Daphnia pulex: one gene and its partners. The protein of the gene in region 2 purifies or fractionates together with the protein of the main gene of each other region. This does not show direct contact. Links are inferred from orthologs where the notes say so. Each region holds a gene or a part of one and is shown on either strand. Other genes may lie near its edges.

Region 1 (5,389 bases), about 550 kb from region 2:
GCTGTACGCATCGATGATGGACTTGTTCTGCGACAAATGGCTCATCATTTGCATCGTAGAGTTTTTCAAAAACGGTTCCAGTTTATTCATCTCCGTCGCAATGACCGATTGCAATTCCTTGCGGATAAAATCAACACTTCGTTGCTCCAGTGTATGCGCCTTGTTCTCGAATTCGGATCGGATCGTCGACTGAAGTTTCGACACGGACTAGAAAATAATAATAATAATAGAAAAATACATCAACAAGAAATAATTAACTGATTTCAATAGTCAAATACTTGTTGGGTTTTTGCCGGAGAATTAACTTCGTCCAACTTTTTAGTCTGGCGATCGAAATAAACGGCCAAAGTGGATTCCATCTGAGCGATCCATGGAGGCTGGATGGGTTCCGGTGAGTGCATCCGAGTCATTTCCGCCTTCAACTGACCAATCTCGCTCTTCAGTTGTTGTTGTTCTGCGCGTTGAGCAGAGACGAGCTGAACCAATTGGTCCAGTGTCTGTTGCATCATTTGCATCTGAGCAGAATTTCCGGCATCCGTTTCGCGCACTGGCGGCTCTTTGGGCCGTTGTAGTTGTTGAACGTTGAGTGGCGGAAGAACGGACGGCCACGCTGCTTGCGCTGGCAAAGCCTGGATGTGTGTCGGGGTGTGTTCAAATATTAGACACCAACATATAACCCAATAATCAATAGAATAAAGCGAAAGCTACTTCAACGACAAGGGCTTCTTTAAATAATTCCAGCAAACTGCCGTTTAAATCCGCAGATACGGAGGAAGGAGTAGGAGCTGCAACAGCGGAAGTAGGGTAAGTGCATAGCGGATCCTCAACAGTTGGTGCGTTATACTAGATTTTAAATGAGGTGTGCAAATAGTAATTACAAATGGCAAATGATCGGCAAATGATCGAAATACGCCCTACTTTATCCATGATGGGGGATGGTCCTTTGCTGTTGACCGAGGCTGAGCGACCCATAGCCGGCGATAACGAAATGGGATAGGCCGATAAGGCGTCTTGAAGGGCTGGACCTGTAGGCACGGTGGCGGAAGAGGTATCGGGTGACTCGATCGAGCCTTCCGTCATAGGTCTTGTTCCCAGGATTTCTTCTACTTCGCGACTGGGGCTGCTACCCCCACTGGGAATGCCGTTCCGCTTCGGCGTCGTTGATGAGGTAACCTCAGGTGTCGGTCGTCGTGGGCTTGAAAGGGCCAGGATCTCACCTGATGCAGGCGGCAAGGGACTCACGGTGCCTGGTGAAGTCACAATCAATTGCTTTTGAGATGAGGAATCCGTGTTGGTTTTGGCTGGAGAGACGAACGCGTCGGGTGTCAACAGGTTGATGTGGTTGGTAGCGGATGCTGTTTTGACTACATTCACCGGTTCATACTCCGACGTGGTGTTGATGGTGGAGAAGGAGGTTCCAATAGCCTCGCCCAGTGGGACCGAAGTCCCCAATTCAAAGACTGCTTTGCACTTTTGCAGCGACTTGGGCTGCACTACGAACATCTTCATTATCACTTTACTGGCCTTTTCATCTCCATCAAAGTCCTCGTCACCCAATGGCTGGGAAGGTGGCCTAATTGAAGCTTCCCGGATGGCAACACTAATGGCTGAGAAAGGCAACAGGAGTTGAGTGATGCTGCTCACTTTCGAGATGGTTCGTTCTTCCGATTTGGAAGGTACTTCGCCGTCATCAGAGAGCGGATTCCTCTCTTCTGGCTCCTGTTCTATGTGCATAACGTACAAAGCCTATTGACAAAATTAGATTGGTATGAGAGTTGAGTAAATCAAAGAAAGGTGGGATATAAATAACCTTGCGATGAATGTCGGAAATAAGAAGGAATGAAGCCGACAAGTCGAGTGTCATTTTTTGGATAATGGGAATAGAATCATCCGATTTGAAACGGATCGTCTGATGGCACTTCCACAATTCACAGGACCATAGCTTAAACTCTGTGTTGTTTTCCGCGGATGTGACTGCCCACTTCCACAGCGGACATCTATAGACGAATCGAAGAGTGTCGTTGAGGATTGGAAGAAACAATGCCGAACAAAATAGACTTACTCTCTGATAGTTGGATGACTGAGATTGTCCAAGAAAATAATGCCTGAGAGTCTTTTTCCTTCATGTGGTTGCCACTTGTGCAAAATTTTTGGAATTTCCTTTTTAATATTGACCTAGAATAAAAATTGCAGCATTTAGCAAATGCCTAGTTAGTTAAAAGTAATTTTCACATACCAAAAAGAATCTGACGTAGCCATCCAAACTGGCGACAGCAATTGCTGTTGAATCTGGAGAAAATGCCACATCAACAACAGCATCATCAAATGAGGTAATTTGAGTGGATCCAGTAGTCACACTGGGGTAGGTGACTGTTCCATTGATATGACCCAGATGCCATATTTCCACACGGCAATCATGTACCGCTGCAAGCATTAATGCATGATCATCAGCATCATTTCTCAAACCATCACTCAATTCATCTGTGAGAAAGAAAATCAAACAAGAAAATTAGTATAACAAAATACAAATTCTAATAGAAATAACAACAAACCTAGAGTTTTGGGATTTTCTGGGACATAGGGACACCAGACTACACGATGGCAGTCGGTGGCAGTAGTAATTCCATCGGGATTCACTTGCAAAATCAATTGAGCAGTTGATCCAATGATCTCATGGACGAGAAGGTAACTATATTCATCGACAGCAGCCACAAGTATCCTTTTCTCATGGAACGCAAAAGACAGGTCTCGAACAAAGCCATGGAATCCCTTTAATAGGATTCTATCACTGCTCCCAGTTCTTATCACTCGAACCATGCCAGCTGATTTTCCGGGGACTAAACAACCAAAACAGAATTAGTGAATGTAGTTAAATACTTGCACATTGTTGGTATTAATAACCTGTCAGTGCATATGCAAAATATTGCCCCTTGTAATGAGTGGCAACCAGGTTTCCCCAGTGGAAAGCTTTATCCCATGATGAATCAACTATATTTTTAACTTTGATCTGTGAGCTACCAGAACGGTGCCCTCCATTAACTGGATAAATAACAACATCTTCTGATGATTTTGTTGCAACACTTTGCCAATCCATCGCCTCTGAAAACATACTGTAAAAATATTTATGTAATCAAGTCTTTCTCAATAATTTGTTAAGTAATAGTCACACACATGGTAAGTTCCTCATCTTTGCTCGTTTGACCATTAAAACTGCAGCTCATGGTGAATCTCTCGACGGGTGTATAATCAGCGAGAAAAACCAACCACGTGCGATAAAATACAGATGAATTTTACAAAATTTTCTAACTGAACTAATAAAGACAAACGACTCCGACGAAATCGACCGGTGTGCAAGTGCAACAAACTGTGTGTCTGATTTCGCTTCGTCGTAACTCGTAACTGCTGAGCCGAAAACAAAAGAAGATCGCACCGCGGCTTACAAACATGTTGATAAACAAACGTTTATCTTTGTTTTTCCAAGATTCGGCGGTAAATGTTGGTTGTTGCCTAAAATGCCTATGCCCAACAAACTATTTAATGTCTTTATTTAATTCATTTCATTGAAATATAATTTTTTTTATTGAAATGAAGAAAAATGGCCGTTTATAACACATTAACACAAAATGTATTATTGTTCTTTTTCACGAGTTTGCCAATAATCAGTTAGTAAGTATAATAAACTAAAATAGGAGAAAGCAAAAATTTTTATGTTCTTTTCTGTGTAAAAAAACATCAGATTGACTGAGTGGAAACAATAAGAAAAGACATTTAATTTAGTCTTCTATGACTGTTTGGTCCAGATATTAATCTGTAAGATTTTTAAATCACAATTTTATAAGAGAAAGAAAATTAAGTACTGAGTGGTCTCTTGCATCATATAGGGGGACAGAAAAAATACACTAGGGGAATCCAGCTATTTCAAATAATTAGGAAATCTTCTTTACATTTCATTAGGGGGTTCTGAAAATTAACAACAACAAAAATGTTTAGAAGATAATTCAATTATTTAGAAGATGAGTAATTTTATTATGAATAATAGATAAAAATCGACGAACCTGTGCCAAAGTATCGGTCTCCAAAATTACCAATACCAGGCTTGACAAAGAATTTTTCGTTGATTTCTGGGTCAACTGCAGAGGAAACAATTCTCACCCTGGGAAAGGCGTAGGCAATCGAATGTACACCTATTTATAAGCAGAAAAATAAAGCATCGATTAAGATGATTTCTTTTCAATTTTGATTACCTGAAGCGGCCATCAGTAAGGAGGCGACTAGGATATTTTCCTCAGGAACGTCATGATCAAGGAGCACCCTGATCGCCATCATGGCTGCAGCTCCAGTCGCCACAGTTGCATCCATCAAAATGACTAGATAGTCTTTAATGTCACGAGGTAGTCGAAGATAGTACAGCTAAAATTCATTTAAAAAAAAGGAACTTGTTATTAAGTAATGTAATAATAATAAATTGATTAGCTATTTACTTCAGGTTCTCCTGTTTCGATGTTATTCTGGATAAGGATTTTCCCGATACGAATATCTTTACATACTTCAGAAAGTGCTTGTTCCATAGTTTCTCCAGCTCGCTAAAGATACGGTATTTTTTAAAAATATTTTATGGTATTTATTTAAGCTTTAACCAATTACCAAAACGGAAACTCCAACGATTTTATCAGTAGCTATGCGCTTCCCTTGATATGAAACTCCTTGTGGTGTGTCTACCGTGGTATCCTAAAGAAACAATCCATTTCTTTAATAACAACATTTATGCGTATCTTAATTAGGGAGGTTATACCTTAAACGGCAGTAAAGACAGAGCAAACTCTATTGTTAATCGAATCAGCCGACGTGAATAGAAGATGAATTCATCACGAGGAGTCTCTTTGTTACGAATGAAAGTGTGTAAACCCTTGACTTGCGGGGTTAACGGCAGAATATGAAGAGAGTTTGGCAGTGGCTGATCCACTTGTGCGGTAGCCAAGATGGGCCTTAACTTGAAACCTCTCTGTGGAATAAAGAACAATAATTAGAATAACCAATCGTATTAATTCCAAGAAGTAATATCGTGCACACCAATTGTAGTTGCGTCTGAACGTGTTGCACAATAAGACTGATGGCGACTTCATTGTCACCACCACGAGGAACGATAATATCAGCGTGCGCCATCAGAGGTGCAATGTAGTGCTCGAACGATGGTTTGACAAATGAACTGTATTGTTTCAAGACTCCCTCTAGCTCGCGTCCGCGTTGAGAGATGTCGCGCCGCAAACGCCGCGCCAACCGTATATCCGAGTCCGTGTCAACAAATACTTTCATGTCCAGCAACTGATAAGAAATGGTTCCACTTTTTAAACAGAATGCTTTTCAATAGTCAGTGTGAAGCACATCTATT
Region 2 (5,085 bases):
GTTTTTATTTGTTGCTTTTTTGTTGTTGTTGTGGTTTAGTACAAAATCACGCGGCAGGTTGGCAAACTATCCGGCCGTCAATCCATCACAAAGTTAGATGTAACTCACCTGCCAACAGCTCAACAACGCAGCATTTGGCATCTTCAATACTCTGACTGGGCTGATCACGGTTGCCCCAAAGATGTGACCTCTTTCCTTAGTAAGACAAATTTGATTGGATATTTTGTTTACAATGTTTGGGGTTAACATAAAAATAATTGATTTCAGGTTTTTTGGAGGAGATGGACACAGTGCGAAGACATTCCGTGTCTGATGTTCCACTGGGTAAGAACCGAAACACGCCAGTGTTGGTTCATTGCGGAGCGGGTGTTGGTCGAACAGGTGTCACCATCGCTTGCGACGTTTTACTTACATCACTCGATCACAATGTTGTGAGTATCATTCAAATCTGCCTAATCAAATCATTGGGCTAATGTTCTTTCTATAATCAACAGGTCGTCGACGTCCCGAAACTTATTAATCACCTGCGCCAGCAAAGGATGCTTATGGTGCAGACCGTTGCCCAGTATCGTTCAATATATGCCCTACTACTTGCTTACCTTGGCCGCTCTCGACTCATTTGATCTTGCAATGATATATTTAAAACACACACACACACACGATGCATTCGGCCTTTGATTCAATTGTTGAAAGATGAACAAGCCAATCAACATGTTCCTCCATTTTTGTGATACTTAGGCAATTCATATGATCACCAACCATTATTTGCTTGCTTTTTTTCATAACATACCACTATTAATGAATTGTGGGAAAGCTATTATACAATTTGTAAAGAGTGTTTCAATCACATGCGTTTCTTCAATTTCTATTGCATTTCTACTAACTCCACGATGTGCAGCAATTTTATAGATTATTAACTCACGCCTAGTCCCTATGACGTGCCTTTTTTTATTGATAGAGAATTAAATAATAAACGATATTTTTAAACAACACCTGATCTTCATTCATTTAATAAATAATAAAAATTATCGAATTAATATAATTGAAATTCCCTAGATGCTCTACAATTTGGCGACGTGGAACTCAATATACCTATCCTCCCGCCTCCCCCCTTAAGCCAGGCACGAGTAAGCCCTGAAGGGATGTTTCATTACCTCTAACCGCCACCAGGAGGACTAAACAGAGACTTCGACTACTATCTCTACTCAGATCCCTTTCGACTCTCGCGCAAAATAGATAGACATTGTTCCCGAACATTGACACACTTGTTAATTATTTTCCAATTTAGTCAACATCTTCGTAAGGTTGGTATATTTTCTTCTCTTAATTTCTTCATTTTGAGTGATGTCAATTGTTGAATATTATCCAAGTTTTGTTTTGCTTGCTCTAACTTGTTTGTCACGACCCTCCCCCTATCTGTGGACTGACTCACTCACAAACAGTCGCTGCTTTGCTTTCGATGCGTAGAGCGCCATAGTGAACACTGTTTCTCAGATAAACCAATTCTTTATCCGTTGACATCCTTGCTCGTGTTTAAAAACTTGTCTATTATATCTCAACTACTGGTCTACTAGGTCAGTTTGTCATTTGCTGAGATTTATTTTATTCGAAATTGAATGCTTCAGTGTTACACGATCAAAAGTCTTTGTGTATATGGACGCCGATTCTGTTGACTTACCGCCATTGACAGATTCGATTTTTCTCATTTTATTTCAGGTTTAGTAAGCGACGTTTGTATGTGCACAGAAGACTGAAGCCATAGTTCCTGCTTCTTTGGTTTCACGTTATTTTCGTTTGCAGAAATCGTTCGCCTTCGTTGGAGAAACTTAAGTTCAAGTGATCGTTGTTGAAGAAGGAATTCGGCATTTTGCTCGAAAGTTTTGTTAAGTAAGAAGAAAAAGAAAAGAAGAGAAAACCATGGCAGAAGCCGTTGCTAGTCAGCCAAGCTTAGTGGCCAACAATCATGCCCTTTCGCCGATGAGACCCAGTCCTCAGCCGCTAATTGCGAAGCAGTAAGTCTTAAAAATCATGTGTTCTTTGTTCGTATTTCATGACTGTTTTTGTTAATATTTTAGAGAGAATAACTCTGACAATTTCTGGAAGTCTCAGTTGAAGATCCCACCCAAGGATCGTAGAAAACAGACTAGCGTAATATTCTTTCATTCAAACATCTATGAGAGTTGGGGGTTAAATTTTTGGTTTAATTTCAGGATGTTACCAACACTAAGGGAACAAGTTTTGAAGACTTTTGTCTGAAGCGTGAATTGTTGATGGGTATCTTTGAAAAGGGATGGGAGACACCTTCACCCATTCAAGAGGTTGGAATTCCTATGGCTCTGACTGGGCGTAATATCCTGGCTCGTGCTAAGAATGGAACTGGAAAAACAGGTGCTTATTGTATACCAGTATTGGAACAAGTAGTTCCGTCTGAGCAACACATCCAAGGTACTGACAAGTTTAAGTTTTTCTTACAGTTCTGGGCCTAATTTTTTTTTCTTTGTAGCATTAATTGTTGTGCCAACACGTGAACTGGCATTGCAAACAAGCCAAATCTGCATTGAACTAGCTAAACATTTGGATATTCGTATCATGGTGACTACTGGTGGTACTGACCTGAAAGATGACATTATGAGGATCTTTGGAAAAGGTATTCATTATTCCTTGTTTACTTCCATGCAAGTTTTAACAATCATTGTTTCTTCCAGTTCATGTTGTGATTGCCACTCCTGGTCGTGTTTTGGATCTGATGGAAAAGAAGATTGCGGTAATGGACCGTTGTAAGGTCCTTGTTTTGGATGAGGTATGTGGGAATTATTAAGAGTTCTGTTAGACGATTGTTCTTATTCTTTTGTGTAACTAGGCTGACAAACTGCTCTCTCAAGACTTCATGGGAATGTTGGATCGTATAATTTCGTTCCTACCAGCCAAGCGCCAAATTTTGCTTTATTCGGCAACTTTCCCTGTAACTGTCGAGGAGTTTATGGTAGGTTTATTGGTTCTTGTAATTTGGTTCTTGATTTAACAATGATTGTATCCACAGAGGAAACACATTGATAACCCATATGAAATCAATTTGATGGAAGAACTAACACTGAAAGGTGTCACGCAATACTACGCTTTTGTCCAAGAACGGCAAAAAGTGCACTGCCTCAATACGCTGTTTTCTAAAGTAAGTAAAGGTTTATTTAGATTTTCAGTATAAGACTGATGAGTTATTGTTGGATTCCCCTTCTCTCGTCTGAGAGAAAATCAACACCTGATTTTACTTGAATTAATTTTAACTGCTGTGTTTTAAAGTCACGATATTAATATCTGTGTTGATATTATAGTTGCAGATCAATCAAAGTATTATCTTCTGCAACTCCACTCAACGTGTGGAACTTTTGGCTAAGAAGATCACTGAGCTGGGCTACTCGTGCTATTACATTCATGCCCGTATGCAGCAAGCTCACAGAAACCGCGTCTTCCATGATTTCCGTAATGGGCTGTGCCGTAACCTCGTGTGCTCCGGTAAGATTTGCTTCATCTTTGTAATGTTAAGTGCTCGACTGTTATGATGAACTTTTTGTTGGATTCCCCTTCTTTCGTCTGAAAGAAAATCAACATCTGATTCATTTAATAATGTGAAGCCAAGAAGAGAAAAGGATGTTGAAACTAATCTTTTGCGTTTTTATAACAGATTTGTTCACTCGTGGTATTGACATTCAAGCTGTGAACGTGGTCATCAACTTCGACTTTCCCAAGATGGCTGAAACTTACCTGCACAGGATTGGTCGTTCGGGTCGGTTTGGACACCTGGGTATTGCTATCAATCTGATTACTTATGAAGATCGTTTCGCCCTGCATCGCATTGAGAGTGAACTTAGCACTGAAATCAAGCCCATTCCTAAGGTTAGTCTTGGATATCTCGTGCAAGTATTCATTGTATTTACATTGTTTTATTTTTTCAATGAAGGTCATTGACAAATCCCTCTACGTGGCCGAGTTCCAAGAAGATTCCGAGGAGCAATCAGGAAAGTAAAAAGGCGAGAGAATGTCTTCGAAAAGCGCATGCATCACACAACGTCATGATAGGACACAAAAAAAAATTGAGAAAAAAGAAAAGAAAATGAATCCTGTAAGTGAAATTTATGAAAGGTCGTTCACTGGGACCAATGTATTGAAGATCAGAATTAATGAAAAGCACTCATTAGCAATTGGAGGAGTGCTGCAGCATGTAGGGAAAAAAACCATTGTACAAGAGTAAAAACAAGGATAACTTTAAGCATGCGCTATCGAAAGACTGTTGTAAATATGTAAATTCTCACGGTGGCGAAGAGCCAGTTTTTTTTTCAGTTTAGGAGAAAAGTTTTTGTTTTGTTTTTTTGGGTACAATGTTTTGCGTGAATGGATGTGTGAACGTCGAAGGCTAAAGCGTTAGGGCGGCAGGTTCCGTAAAAGATGAGATTCCGTCAGGGAGTAAGTATGTGAAATGAAGTTTGGGGGGGTCAGCTTGGTACACTTTGCATTGCTTTTGGAATGGAAGAATCTCGCTCCCAAAAGCAGTCCACTGGTGATGTTACAATGGCTCCCTCGTCGAGGAAAGTTTCACCGATATAAGACTTGAAAGCCGCCCGTTACATTTTATATACATAATCTAGCCGACCCACTACCTGAATGTGAATTGTATATTTGTTAACATGTATCGTACCAAAATTCTCGCCCAACTGCGTTTGGATGGAATTTTTCGTACTCCTCTTAATACCGATTGTGACTCTGTGCTCGCCGAATTGCACGAGCTTTATATCCCGAACGCGACAGTTTGCTGATGAACATTACCGAACGTGACCTGATAGAATGAGCGAGATCTCAAGTGTCATTATGCACTTCTTCCCATCTGTATACCCTCAAGAAGTCGACTTCAAAACAACAAAAAAAAACATAAAAATTCTTAGTTTCACCTCCAGAAGAAACAAAAAAAAAATTTTTCTTTTCAATTTCAAGTGTTTGCCGTTTAAACAAATTGTCGAAATTATTAATAAACGCTTTCTGAAATTGAATTCATTTTCTTAATTTTTCTGTGAATTTACTATTACAATTTATAAT
Region 3 (4,408 bases), on a different chromosome or scaffold from region 2:
AACTAATGCAAGTCCTTTTTTCATCAAAGGTCTAAAGCTATTATCAAGTTAAGCCTTTGGACACGTGGGAATAAGAAACTTGTTCGTGAAAAATCCAAAAATGGCGAGTTTGAAAAAAACGTGACTAACGAATGACCAACGAAACGCATAGCATTTAACCAGGGAAACAAAGGATTTCACAGAAAACCAGGAATAATAAAAAGACCGGGACTTACCAAAGTTTGAACAGAGACTGTCCCACGTTGAAACCAGATGGAATTTCGATGGCTGCATTCACGAAAATAGTCTGTAAGGTCACATTCACACAAATTTAGTACACAAATATAGGATAACAAGGAAGAACGAATGTTTAACTAATCACTGAAATGTCTTATGAATCACTTTGATTCCCGCTCAATTAGCTCTGGTTTCAGCCAAAATATGTAAATGAGACGACGATTGAAGTTGATACACAGCTGCCATATTTTTACCTCGGTCACAGATTTATAATGGGATCTGAATTTAATTTATACTATTCACTTATTTAGGATATTAAAAAAATTTATATATTTGTTCAGAAATGAATTTGTCAATTTCAAAAAGAAAATCACTAACTTCAACTTGACATTTATAAAATAAATGAAAATTGAATGAGCACCACCTAGCGACCAGTTTTAAAGTTAATCGAAATAAAATTAAAAAAAGGGAAAAAAATCTTGAATTTTGTTATAAATATGATGATTCCGTGATTCGGGTTGGCGTTATCTCAGAAGCATCAGCATTTGACAAAATCAATATTCCCTTTACTTAACAAATATAACCCGGTCAGCTCAGCTGTGACATTGTAATCTCATGAGAAGGAATTGAAGGAATTGTTTGTTGAAGTATTTTACTTAGATAAAAATAGTAAGAACTCGACAACTTGCTTATTGATTGATAAGAAAACGAATAATATAAAAAATTACTAAGTTGTACTGGCCGAGTGAAAAGTGGTCTAAATCAGAACAAAAAATGCAGTATCACACAAAATCCAATTTGCCAAGGCCAATTGAAATCAGTTGGCTACAGCAATAATAATTTAACTCAATATAAGTACTTAAAATAAAAACTCAATGAAAGTAAACAAGAAGTTATCATTGTATATCATCTCGCCATTTCATACGCCACTACACGCTCCGAAAATCATCAAGTATTTTTTAATCGGACGTATTTTACAGCTGTGAAGAACCAGCATTCTCTTTGCTTGTTTGAAGTTGTTGTATTTATTTATTATCTAGAATTTTTGAGAAGATGGTGAAGCAGGATGGAGAAAATGGTACTGGTCGTCGTGAAAAGAGTGGGGCCATATTTTGCCTGATTTCACGGAGAAGCTAATGTATTACTGTTTTCACTGCTTCCTCCTTTTGTATCTGAATGGTCTTTCATGTACTTTTCAACCTATAACAAGAAAATAAAATCTTAGCTTATTTGATGTATAGTAGTGATTAATCCAGACACTCACAATTTTTCTAACATGGTTCACAGCCTTTTCCATATTGCCCTGGACATTTTCTGGATGATACGGGGGACTAATTGTCACTTGATCCATGACTCGAATGTTTTTGCCTTCCCATGCAACATCCTCAATCCTGTAGTTAATTTTTATAAACAATAGATTATGTTGTTTCTCTGATTCCCTGCTGTTATCCTCACGTTCGTTTGACAGCATTAAACAGCTTGAGCCCTTCAGGAGAAACACCAGACTCCAGGGCAGTTATCATGTGTTGTTTTCTTTCTACTTCCATACGCACCCTTTTCTTCAGCTACCAATCGAGGATAAAAGATGTATATAGCATGATTGATAAAAGTAAATAGTATTTAAAACTTACTCTTTCGACATTCTGAACTGGATGGGGAGGTGGAGAAGAAGTTGCCTCTCTCTTTACTTGAACATCACTCACTTGCCCAAGATTTACAACATGTGCATCGTTGACAGAGGGTCTTCCACACGAAGAAGGTGATTCTGAAAAGAGCAGAGGTCTATTATTAGACTGAATTCAAATATCCCTAACAACAAGAAGGAAGAAAATGAGTTGCACAGTTTGAAAAACGAGTTTATAGTTAAACAAACAGCGTGTGCCAAGGAAAAAAAAAGTATGAGCGTGACAAGTAGCCGACAAGAGCGTGAGTTATCGGTTAAGTTAAAAGAGCCGGTAAACTTACTGAGAATCAGCATTTTGGTAGGTTGATCAAAGGCGAGGACTTCGCCTTCGATCACTTGATTATGGCATGTTTTGCACGAAACTAGACTTCCGACCGAAAAGTACTCATTGCCATCCGACGCCATATTTTGGCTCCAGAAGAAACAGAAAAAATTCTCCAAAAAACGGGGCGAGACACAACAACACTCCGATCAGACAACGCTGGTAACATCAAGTAAAAAGTAGGCGGAGTCTAGCAGACATGCCGGCCGCACGGGCACCCATAAACCCATTCCCCTACCTTCTCTTTATTCCAAAATCCGCGTTATCCCCTGCGTTTGACAGACAGAAGTGACGTTGTCGTTCATTTTTTTGTAAATTTCGTGCGGGAATTATAATTATTATTTTTTTTATTTTTAGCTAAAGTTTCGTCGTTTATTATTCCATATTTTTTTGTGGTAGTGGATAAATAACCTACTCAAATATTTCGCATTTACTGGTGAATGTCTGTGGAACTAAACAAGCAGATGCTGATGCAGCTGTTACCTAAGTTTACGATGCAGTTGGCATTCACAACACTTCAAGTCAACTTAAACTATGCGGCAATTTTATTGATGTTCTGTAAAGGGGTCACATGTGTGTTTGTCAAAAACATGACGCATACAGATGTTGAAGACCACTACGTTTTCTACCAGCTACACACTTAATAATAAATTCATCTGTTTTTAATATCACAGATACCAGATATTCCAAAATATGCTTATACTTGCATTAATGGACAATTCTTAACTATCTTTTACTTGCATTAATGGACAATCCTTAATTATCTTTTTCATAGCTGAAAAATATTGCTGACTAACTGACCAAAAGACGTTCGAAATAAAACATTGACAAGAGGATTTAACGCGAGAAGTATCATATTGGCTTTAAACGCTCTAAATAAATAGAGCAATTAAGACGAGAAACACTAGAAAGCAAGCAACAAGCACCTGCCACTAGATAAAAGGGGTACATGTTTTTCTTGGTTAACAAGGAATGATAATTTTCAATTAATATTCATCGCCACCTTCTCCCTCGCCTTCGACGGAATCCATACCGACCTGTTTTACAAACAATAAATTATAAAATCATCTAGGGGGGTAAATCGTAATCAAAATTGTTACCTCCTCGTAATCCTTCTCGAGAGCGGCCAAATCTTCACGAGCCTCAGAGAACTCTCCCTCCTCCATACCCTCACCAACGTACCAATGGACGAACGCACGCTTGGCGTACATCAGATCAAACTTGTGATCCAAACGAGCCCAGGCCTCGGCGATGGCAGTCGTGTTGGACAACATGCAAACGGCACGGGAAACCTTGGCCAAATCACCACCAGGAACGACAGTTGGGGGCTGGTAATTGATACCGACCTAACGAGGAGAAAGAAATCAATGAGAACCAGCCTGTGGGCAATTGCTATAAAAATACTACCTTGAAACCAGTTGGGCACCAGTCAACGAATTGAATGGAACGCTTGGTCTTGATGGTGGCAATAGCAGCATTGACATCCTTGGGGACGACATCACCACGGTACAACATGCAGCAAGCCATGTACTTTCCGTGACGGGGATCGCATTTGACCATCTGGTTGGCCGGCTCGAAGCAAGCGTTGGTGATGTCTCCAACGGAATTCTGCTCATGATAAGCTTTTTCGGCGGAGATGACGGGGGCGTAGGTAACAAGTGGGAAATGGATACGAGGGTACGGGACCAAATTGGTCTGGAATTCAGTCAAATCAACGTTCAAAGCGCCATCGAAACGAAGAGAAGCTGTGATGGAAGAAACGATCTGGCCAATCAGACGGTTCAAGTTGGTGTAGCTGGGTCGCTCAATGTCCAGGTTGCGACGACAAATATCATAAATAGCTTCATTGTCGACCATGAAGGCGCAGTCGGAATGTTCCAAAGTAGTATGGGTGGTCAAAATCGAGTTGTACGGTTCAACGACCGCAGTGGACACCTGTGGAGCAGGGTAGATGGCGAACTCCAGTTTGGATTTCTTGCCGTAGTCTACCGACAAGCGCTCCATCAGCAGGGAGGCGAATCCAGACCCAGTGCCACCACCGAAGGAATGGAAAATGAGAAAGCCCTGAAGACCAGTGCATTGATCGGACAACTTGCGGACACGATCCAATACAATATCGACAATCTCCTTGCCGATGGTGTAATGACCACGAGCGTAGTTGTTAGCTGCATCCTCCTTTCCGGTAA
Region 4 (5,085 bases), on a different chromosome or scaffold from region 2:
GTAAACGCGCGAATCCGCACATCCTTCAAAAGGCGTAAGGCTTCGACAGGGGCTGGATCCCTCCACCCGGTTCAATTTCCTCAACACCACACCCTTTACACATTATTAAATCAGTATATGAGGGGGGAGACAGAGTCAGGTCACATGTTTTCATGCCTTAATATTGTTTCAAATCATAACTACATTATCATCATCAATTCAGCTGCTCTCCAGACAGACATGCTTTCACACATTCATTCGAAAACAAATGAACCAGAATAAAAAAAAACAGAAAAAAAATTAATCATTTGATTCAAATAAATCAAAAAACAAAAAAATACCCAAGGTCGGGGGGTAGGTCAAAATGGCCGTCAAGTTTTTAGTGTGTGTGTGCCCTTATATGTTGTCTACAAGAAAAGAAACCCGATCGTATCGTAAATATAATAGAAGACTCGGGGGACGAACGTACAACAACGGGGGCAAGTCCGGTGCTCATTTGACTTTCATTTCTTCCAACCTTCTCTCTCACTACAGATTTCCATTTTTATGTCTTTCTCTCTCCCCCCCACAACTAGTATCACATTCTTCTAATGAGTTCCGACCATCAACCACGAACAAAGAAAAATCCTACGAGAAGAGAAAAAAAAATATTTGGAGGGGGACCTCCCCCAAACAGTTCACCCGTTTCCGATTGACTTAAAGCAGCCCGCAACCAAGTAACGTGAGCACTCTTTAAGTGGATCGGATTCTTGGAGAAACTAAAGGGGACGACGAGAACAGGGAGGGATTCTTCTTCTCTCTACCAGATGTGTGGCGACTAAAATAAAAATATTTTTAAACGAAAGATATGGCAGCTACTTTCCGGTTCACCTGATGTTTTACATTATTTGTGTGTCTCGCTCTTTCCTTACTCCCCACACTCACGCCTATTATTATTTCCTTTTAATCATTCATTCAAATCTCATCTTCTTCTACGGCTTCGTCAGGGTGCTCTCGGCAGGATTCTTTCCAAGAAGTTTGTTTCTTCTTTCTCTTTTTTGTGTTTCTTCAAGGTGATGAGAAAATGGTTTTCTTTTTTCTTTTACAGGTCATAGCTCGCTCGGCATTTGTTTTTTTGTGTAGAGACCCTGATGGCCGGTTGGCTTTCAAATGGATTGTGTCAGCGTGTGGTAGAGACGACGGCCCCACCATCCCTCCAGGTCGAAAGGTTCGAAATCTGTAAACAACGTCGTAAAAAATTATTAGACCATTATGATTAGATAAGAGACTATGCAAATGATTCTCACCTTGAAGGGCTGGATTAGGACTGGCGTCCTGGTAATACGTCACGGAGGTACCTGTCGTGTGTACAAAACGACTCCATTAACATCAAAGTCAAAATAATTAGCTGAATTAAATTGTGTGACGCAACATTTACCCTCGGCAGTTGGCACAGTTGATGTTTTCAATTCTCGATTCACTCGCTGCCATCCTGCAATGGAATTCAAACAAAACAACATTTTTGTCAGTAAAATATGACTCGAGCAACTCACGTGCACGAGGCGATGGGCGGGAGTTGGGAGGACAAGTTTCAAGACGGGTGGGAAAAAACTCGAAATAGAATTTCTCCTGGCCCCCAACGAATCGATATTTGAGGCGTGTTCTTTAAGGATCGATCATAGAAAGCGTGAAAAAAAAAGAAAAAATTTGGCCGTTGCCAAGACTCGGTTGCCATGACAACGCAACCGGTTTGGTGTGTGTGTTATCTGTTTTCCTGCTATGGCAAGCACACCTCTCGTATCCAGTTTGCTCATTGGTCGGTTTCGCCGGGCTACAGAGAGTTGGCTGACGTCAAGAGGCCTTGGTGCCATAGAGAACGTGTGGTTCCATCTTTCTCCGTTCGTTCAGAGATTCACACAATAGACTACCCCATAAAATGTCCGACCCAACTATATCGATAGCTAAGCTCCATGTTTTCTTTTAAAAAGTTCAATGTTTGTTTTCCGACTAAAAAGAATCTGGCGAAACAAAAAACAACCAGGCGCCCCCATGGCGACAGGGTTGTTTAAACACAATTCGAAATAAATGTTTAAACTTACTGTCGTAGACGTATTTGATTAATTCCTGTTGACTCCTCGTGAGGATTTCAGGCTGTTGGTGATGGTGGTGATGTCGGTGACTACTGTGAAAGTGGCGTTTATTCGTCGTGCTCACAGCTTGGAATACAGGTCTCGGTGGGCTGACAATATCAAAAGAAACACGAGATGAAAAGAGTTAATTGCGTCAGCCAAGTAACTCGAGATGTGTGTCGCAGTTATTATGCTAAATAAACTCACCTCATGGAGCCCAGAGATTCCACTTCATCCGAATCGGAATTCTTCCTCGTCATGTCGCGAATTGTGTCCAAACTCTCCAATTTCTGCGCCAATCCTGTTACATTTGAAAAGAAAAATGAACTTGTTAGTAGATCTTCTTCGGCTGCAGCTTCCATCGTGGTTACGTAACAGACACAACAGTCGAGCCGGACAAAGGAAAAAGATTCAGCAAACTGAACGTCTTTTGGACCTGTTCCAAAACGTTTACATTTCTTTTCACTTGTCCAAAAGAGGCATGGCCACATTTCACGAATAGAAATTTTTTAAGTTAAAATATCAAGATCACGAGCGAGGAGGTTCAAAATCCACAATGTGTACCTGTGCCTTTTGACCTGTTTATTTCCAAGTCTCAATCCACACGCACTATCGTGTGTGTGTGTACCCACAGACATTTTCAAAATAACAATTTTCTCTTTCTGTAGAAAATCCCCTCCCCCCCCTACACACACATACAAGGAAATGATTCTTCTAGAAATTAATAATAAATGAGGCTTACCTCGCCGGGTTTTGGCCACGATTTGACTAGGTCCTTTGGAAATGGTGTACATCCTTCAGGTGTGGAGTTTTACGTGATGTCAACGACGGAAATATGAAAAGGTTTCCTTCTTTGGATGATTGATTGGAGAAAAAGTAAGCTGGATCAAGTTTCAATAATCCAGCAGCCAAAGTCGGTGATGATACGACGAAATGGGTGAAAGTTTCGTCTGGAAAGAAACTTGTGTAGTGCAACGCCGAAGCAGTGCAAATGGAATAAATTGTTACAGCGGGATCGACGTTTCTCTACGCCAGTCTTGTCTGCACGAGTTGTGTGGAGGGAATGGGAACTACACGGAGGCCGGAAAAAGATGGGAGGAGCTTGTTGGATCCATTTTCTGTGGAGGGAGAATCCTAGACGCCATCTGTGAGTCGATTTGTAAACTGTTTGGTAAAATTTCATCGATTTCCAATGCCAAACGAAGGATTTTTGTTGTTTTTTCTAGGCCATTTTGTCAGGTCGATTAAATGGCGAATCGATCGTCGAAATTCCGCCAAAGGCCCGTGAAATGAGAAAATGGATTCGCTCGCGAAATTTTTTTCGAGCCAGCAAACAAACAAACGAATTGGTTGTCGACAGCAATTTGTCATCGCCGCGGCGTTCCGGTTCCCCGAACGTTGCGCCCACATTTGAACACGTCGAAAATGTCTTCCCAATCCAATCATCTGATTGATTGAACAGCGCCAGGCAAAAATATAAAAAAAACTTTGAGGGAAGAAATTTTTGAAAAATAGAAAATAATACGACGGTGGATTCAATTCGGTCGGTTTGACGGTCAAATTGATGGGCATAATCCGTTGTAAAGTGGACGCAATTCATCGTGAAAAAATAAAAAAAAAAGACTTGGCGTATTATAAAAGGGGCGAATCTCTCATTCTGGCACGGTTCTCACGAATAGCCTAGTACATTACTCTACTAAAAGAAAAGGAGCCCCAAAGTTCGATTGCGCAATCCGTATAATAGAGCCTCTCTCTTTGTACACATTACACTTCACTCAATCACGTCCAAATGGACTTGGCCGAGTTCAGTACATGGACCTTTTCACACAAATGATGTCGACTTGCGAGCGCATCTTCACCAACTCTCCTGCTGCCGCTAGGAGCTTCATTAGGAGCACCTTTTCAAAGAATGCTCAACCTGTTTGTTGCATTCATTTCAGATTTTGTTGAATTCTTTTATCTACGTGAACAGTTGGAAATATTCTTTGGGGCTCCTGCAGGTCGCAGGTGGACGACGAACTTTGATCGTCTCCCCAAAAATTATTAAAAGCAGACACACATGTATCTCCCTCTATTGAATGCAGCTGGCAAAAAAAAAACAAATGGAGAAATAAATAAATAAATAAATAAAAGGAGATTTGACTGGAAGATAAAAATGGGGAAAATAGTAAAAGGTTATACAACTACGTGAGATGATTGGCTTTTATTTCGGCGAAACGCATCACGCCTGGCTCTCTATATATCTTTAATTGATGGAGCACATCTGCTGCCATGGCGACGCTTTCCAATTATCGCAAGGATATGGCGCTCCTCTGCTCGACGCACTTGCACCGAAAATACACACCTAGCTCTAAAAGCTCACGCCACGCTCTAAAATGTGCACCGGGAGAAATTTATATCTCGCTCTATACGTCGCTATATGTACGTATACGTACGTACATACACAAAACTATCAGGAATGAAAATTTAGACTCTGCTCGTCCTCGGCATCACCGTCAATTATTCAGCGCTGCGTTCTATAATTTGCTATTCGACAAAGTTTTTACCCGGCTCTTATTTTCTGGTTCCCCCAACAGTTTCTGTTTTATTTTATTTTTTTGTTACGTAACTTTTCACGTTATACTTATAAAACAAACGTAGAAAAACTGCGCACCGCCATTTATTTCACGTGTCTAATGCGTTTAAAGTTTGTGTGTGTATCAATATCAACTGTATGTATAATAACTCGTGTATTTTAACTCTATTAGACATATCAGCTGTTGGTTGTTGCGTGAGTGTCTAGACTTTTGATGAAACGCGCCGGCGGCGGTAGTTGGAAAACTAAAAAAAAATACAGACGAGAGCCTGAAATGTCGAAATGTGTGTAGTACCCGCTCACGTATACGTCTCTCTATCTCTCTAGGCCTCCTCCAACTTGTTCAAAAACTTTTGGGGCGCGCCAGCAGACGCGTGACGTGATGAATAACAGAATTGAGCCAGAAATAATCAAAAGAAGACG

Evidence for each region. Proteins that work in one complex are often made in the same cells at the same time.
Region 1: the proteins of ATP-dependent RNA helicase me31b-like (region 2) and enhancer of mRNA-decapping protein 4-like purify together in Homo sapiens (affinity purification with mass spectrometry; 4 studies listed by BioGRID and IntAct, counting the BioPlex papers as one, with this or other methods). This does not show direct contact. The link is inferred for Daphnia pulex from reciprocal best matches to the Homo sapiens genes DDX6 and EDC4.
Region 3: the proteins of ATP-dependent RNA helicase me31b-like (region 2) and protein LSM12 homolog A-like purify together in Homo sapiens (affinity purification with mass spectrometry; 5 studies listed by BioGRID and IntAct, with this or other methods). This does not show direct contact. The link is inferred for Daphnia pulex from reciprocal best matches to the Homo sapiens genes DDX6 and LSM12.
Region 4: the proteins of ATP-dependent RNA helicase me31b-like (region 2) and mapk-regulated corepressor-interacting protein 1-like purify together in Homo sapiens (co-immunoprecipitation; 5 studies listed by BioGRID and IntAct, with this or other methods). This does not show direct contact. The link is inferred for Daphnia pulex from reciprocal best matches to the Homo sapiens genes DDX6 and MCRIP2.

The regions. Positions count from the first base shown.
Region 1 is NC_060018.1:11,849,740-11,855,128, reverse strand, and holds the start of enhancer of mRNA-decapping protein 4-like, read right to left. Parts: upstream 3,399-5,389; 5' UTR 3,222-3,398; coding exon 3,172-3,221; intron 3,111-3,171; coding exon 2,902-3,110; intron 2,838-2,901; coding exon 2,553-2,837; intron 2,482-2,552; coding exon 2,237-2,481; intron 2,176-2,236; coding exon 2,063-2,175; intron 1,998-2,062; coding exon 1,811-1,997; intron 1,747-1,810; coding exon 919-1,746; intron 844-918; coding exon 709-843; intron 630-708; coding exon 279-629; intron 208-278; coding exon 1-207. Other genes in the region: uridine-cytidine kinase-like 1, read right to left, coding at 3,941-3,960, 4,056-4,184, 4,245-4,410, 4,482-4,583, 4,645-4,728, 4,793-5,002, 5,071-5,322. UniProt on the Homo sapiens protein: In the process of mRNA degradation, seems to play a role in mRNA decapping. Component of a complex containing DCP2 and DCP1A which functions in decapping of ARE-containing mRNAs. Promotes complex formation between DCP1A and DCP2.
Region 2 is NC_060018.1:12,397,131-12,402,215, reverse strand, and holds ATP-dependent RNA helicase me31b-like, read left to right. Parts: upstream 1-1,917; coding exon 1,918-2,012; intron 2,013-2,075; coding exon 2,076-2,148; intron 2,149-2,210; coding exon 2,211-2,445; intron 2,446-2,503; coding exon 2,504-2,647; intron 2,648-2,705; coding exon 2,706-2,800; intron 2,801-2,860; coding exon 2,861-2,983; intron 2,984-3,040; coding exon 3,041-3,169; intron 3,170-3,329; coding exon 3,330-3,510; intron 3,511-3,679; coding exon 3,680-3,891; intron 3,892-3,955; coding exon 3,956-4,021; downstream 4,022-5,085. Other genes in the region: tyrosine-protein phosphatase non-receptor type 14-like, read left to right, coding at 40-199, 268-431, 495-623.
Region 3 is NC_060021.1:9,119,180-9,123,587, forward strand, and holds protein LSM12 homolog A-like, read right to left. Parts: upstream 2,428-4,408; 5' UTR 2,306-2,427; coding exon 2,182-2,305; intron 1,982-2,181; coding exon 1,848-1,981; intron 1,782-1,847; coding exon 1,672-1,781; intron 1,608-1,671; coding exon 1,481-1,607; intron 1,417-1,480; coding exon 1,339-1,416; 3' UTR 1,099-1,338; downstream 1-1,098. Other genes in the region: tubulin alpha chain, testis-specific-like, read right to left, coding at 3,209-3,259, 3,323-3,568, 3,630-4,408. UniProt on the Homo sapiens protein: Nicotinic acid adenine dinucleotide phosphate (NAADP) binding protein. Confers NAADP sensitivity to the two pore channel complex (TPCs) by acting as TPC accessory protein necessary for NAADP-evoked Ca(2+) release.
Region 4 is NC_060017.1:7,806,389-7,811,473, forward strand, and holds mapk-regulated corepressor-interacting protein 1-like, read right to left. Parts: upstream 3,183-5,085; 5' UTR 2,882-3,182; coding exon 2,830-2,881; intron 2,389-2,829; coding exon 2,295-2,388; intron 2,198-2,294; coding exon 2,058-2,197; intron 1,451-2,057; coding exon 1,397-1,450; intron 1,317-1,396; coding exon 1,266-1,316; intron 1,196-1,265; coding exon 1,125-1,195; 3' UTR 1,099-1,124; downstream 1-1,098.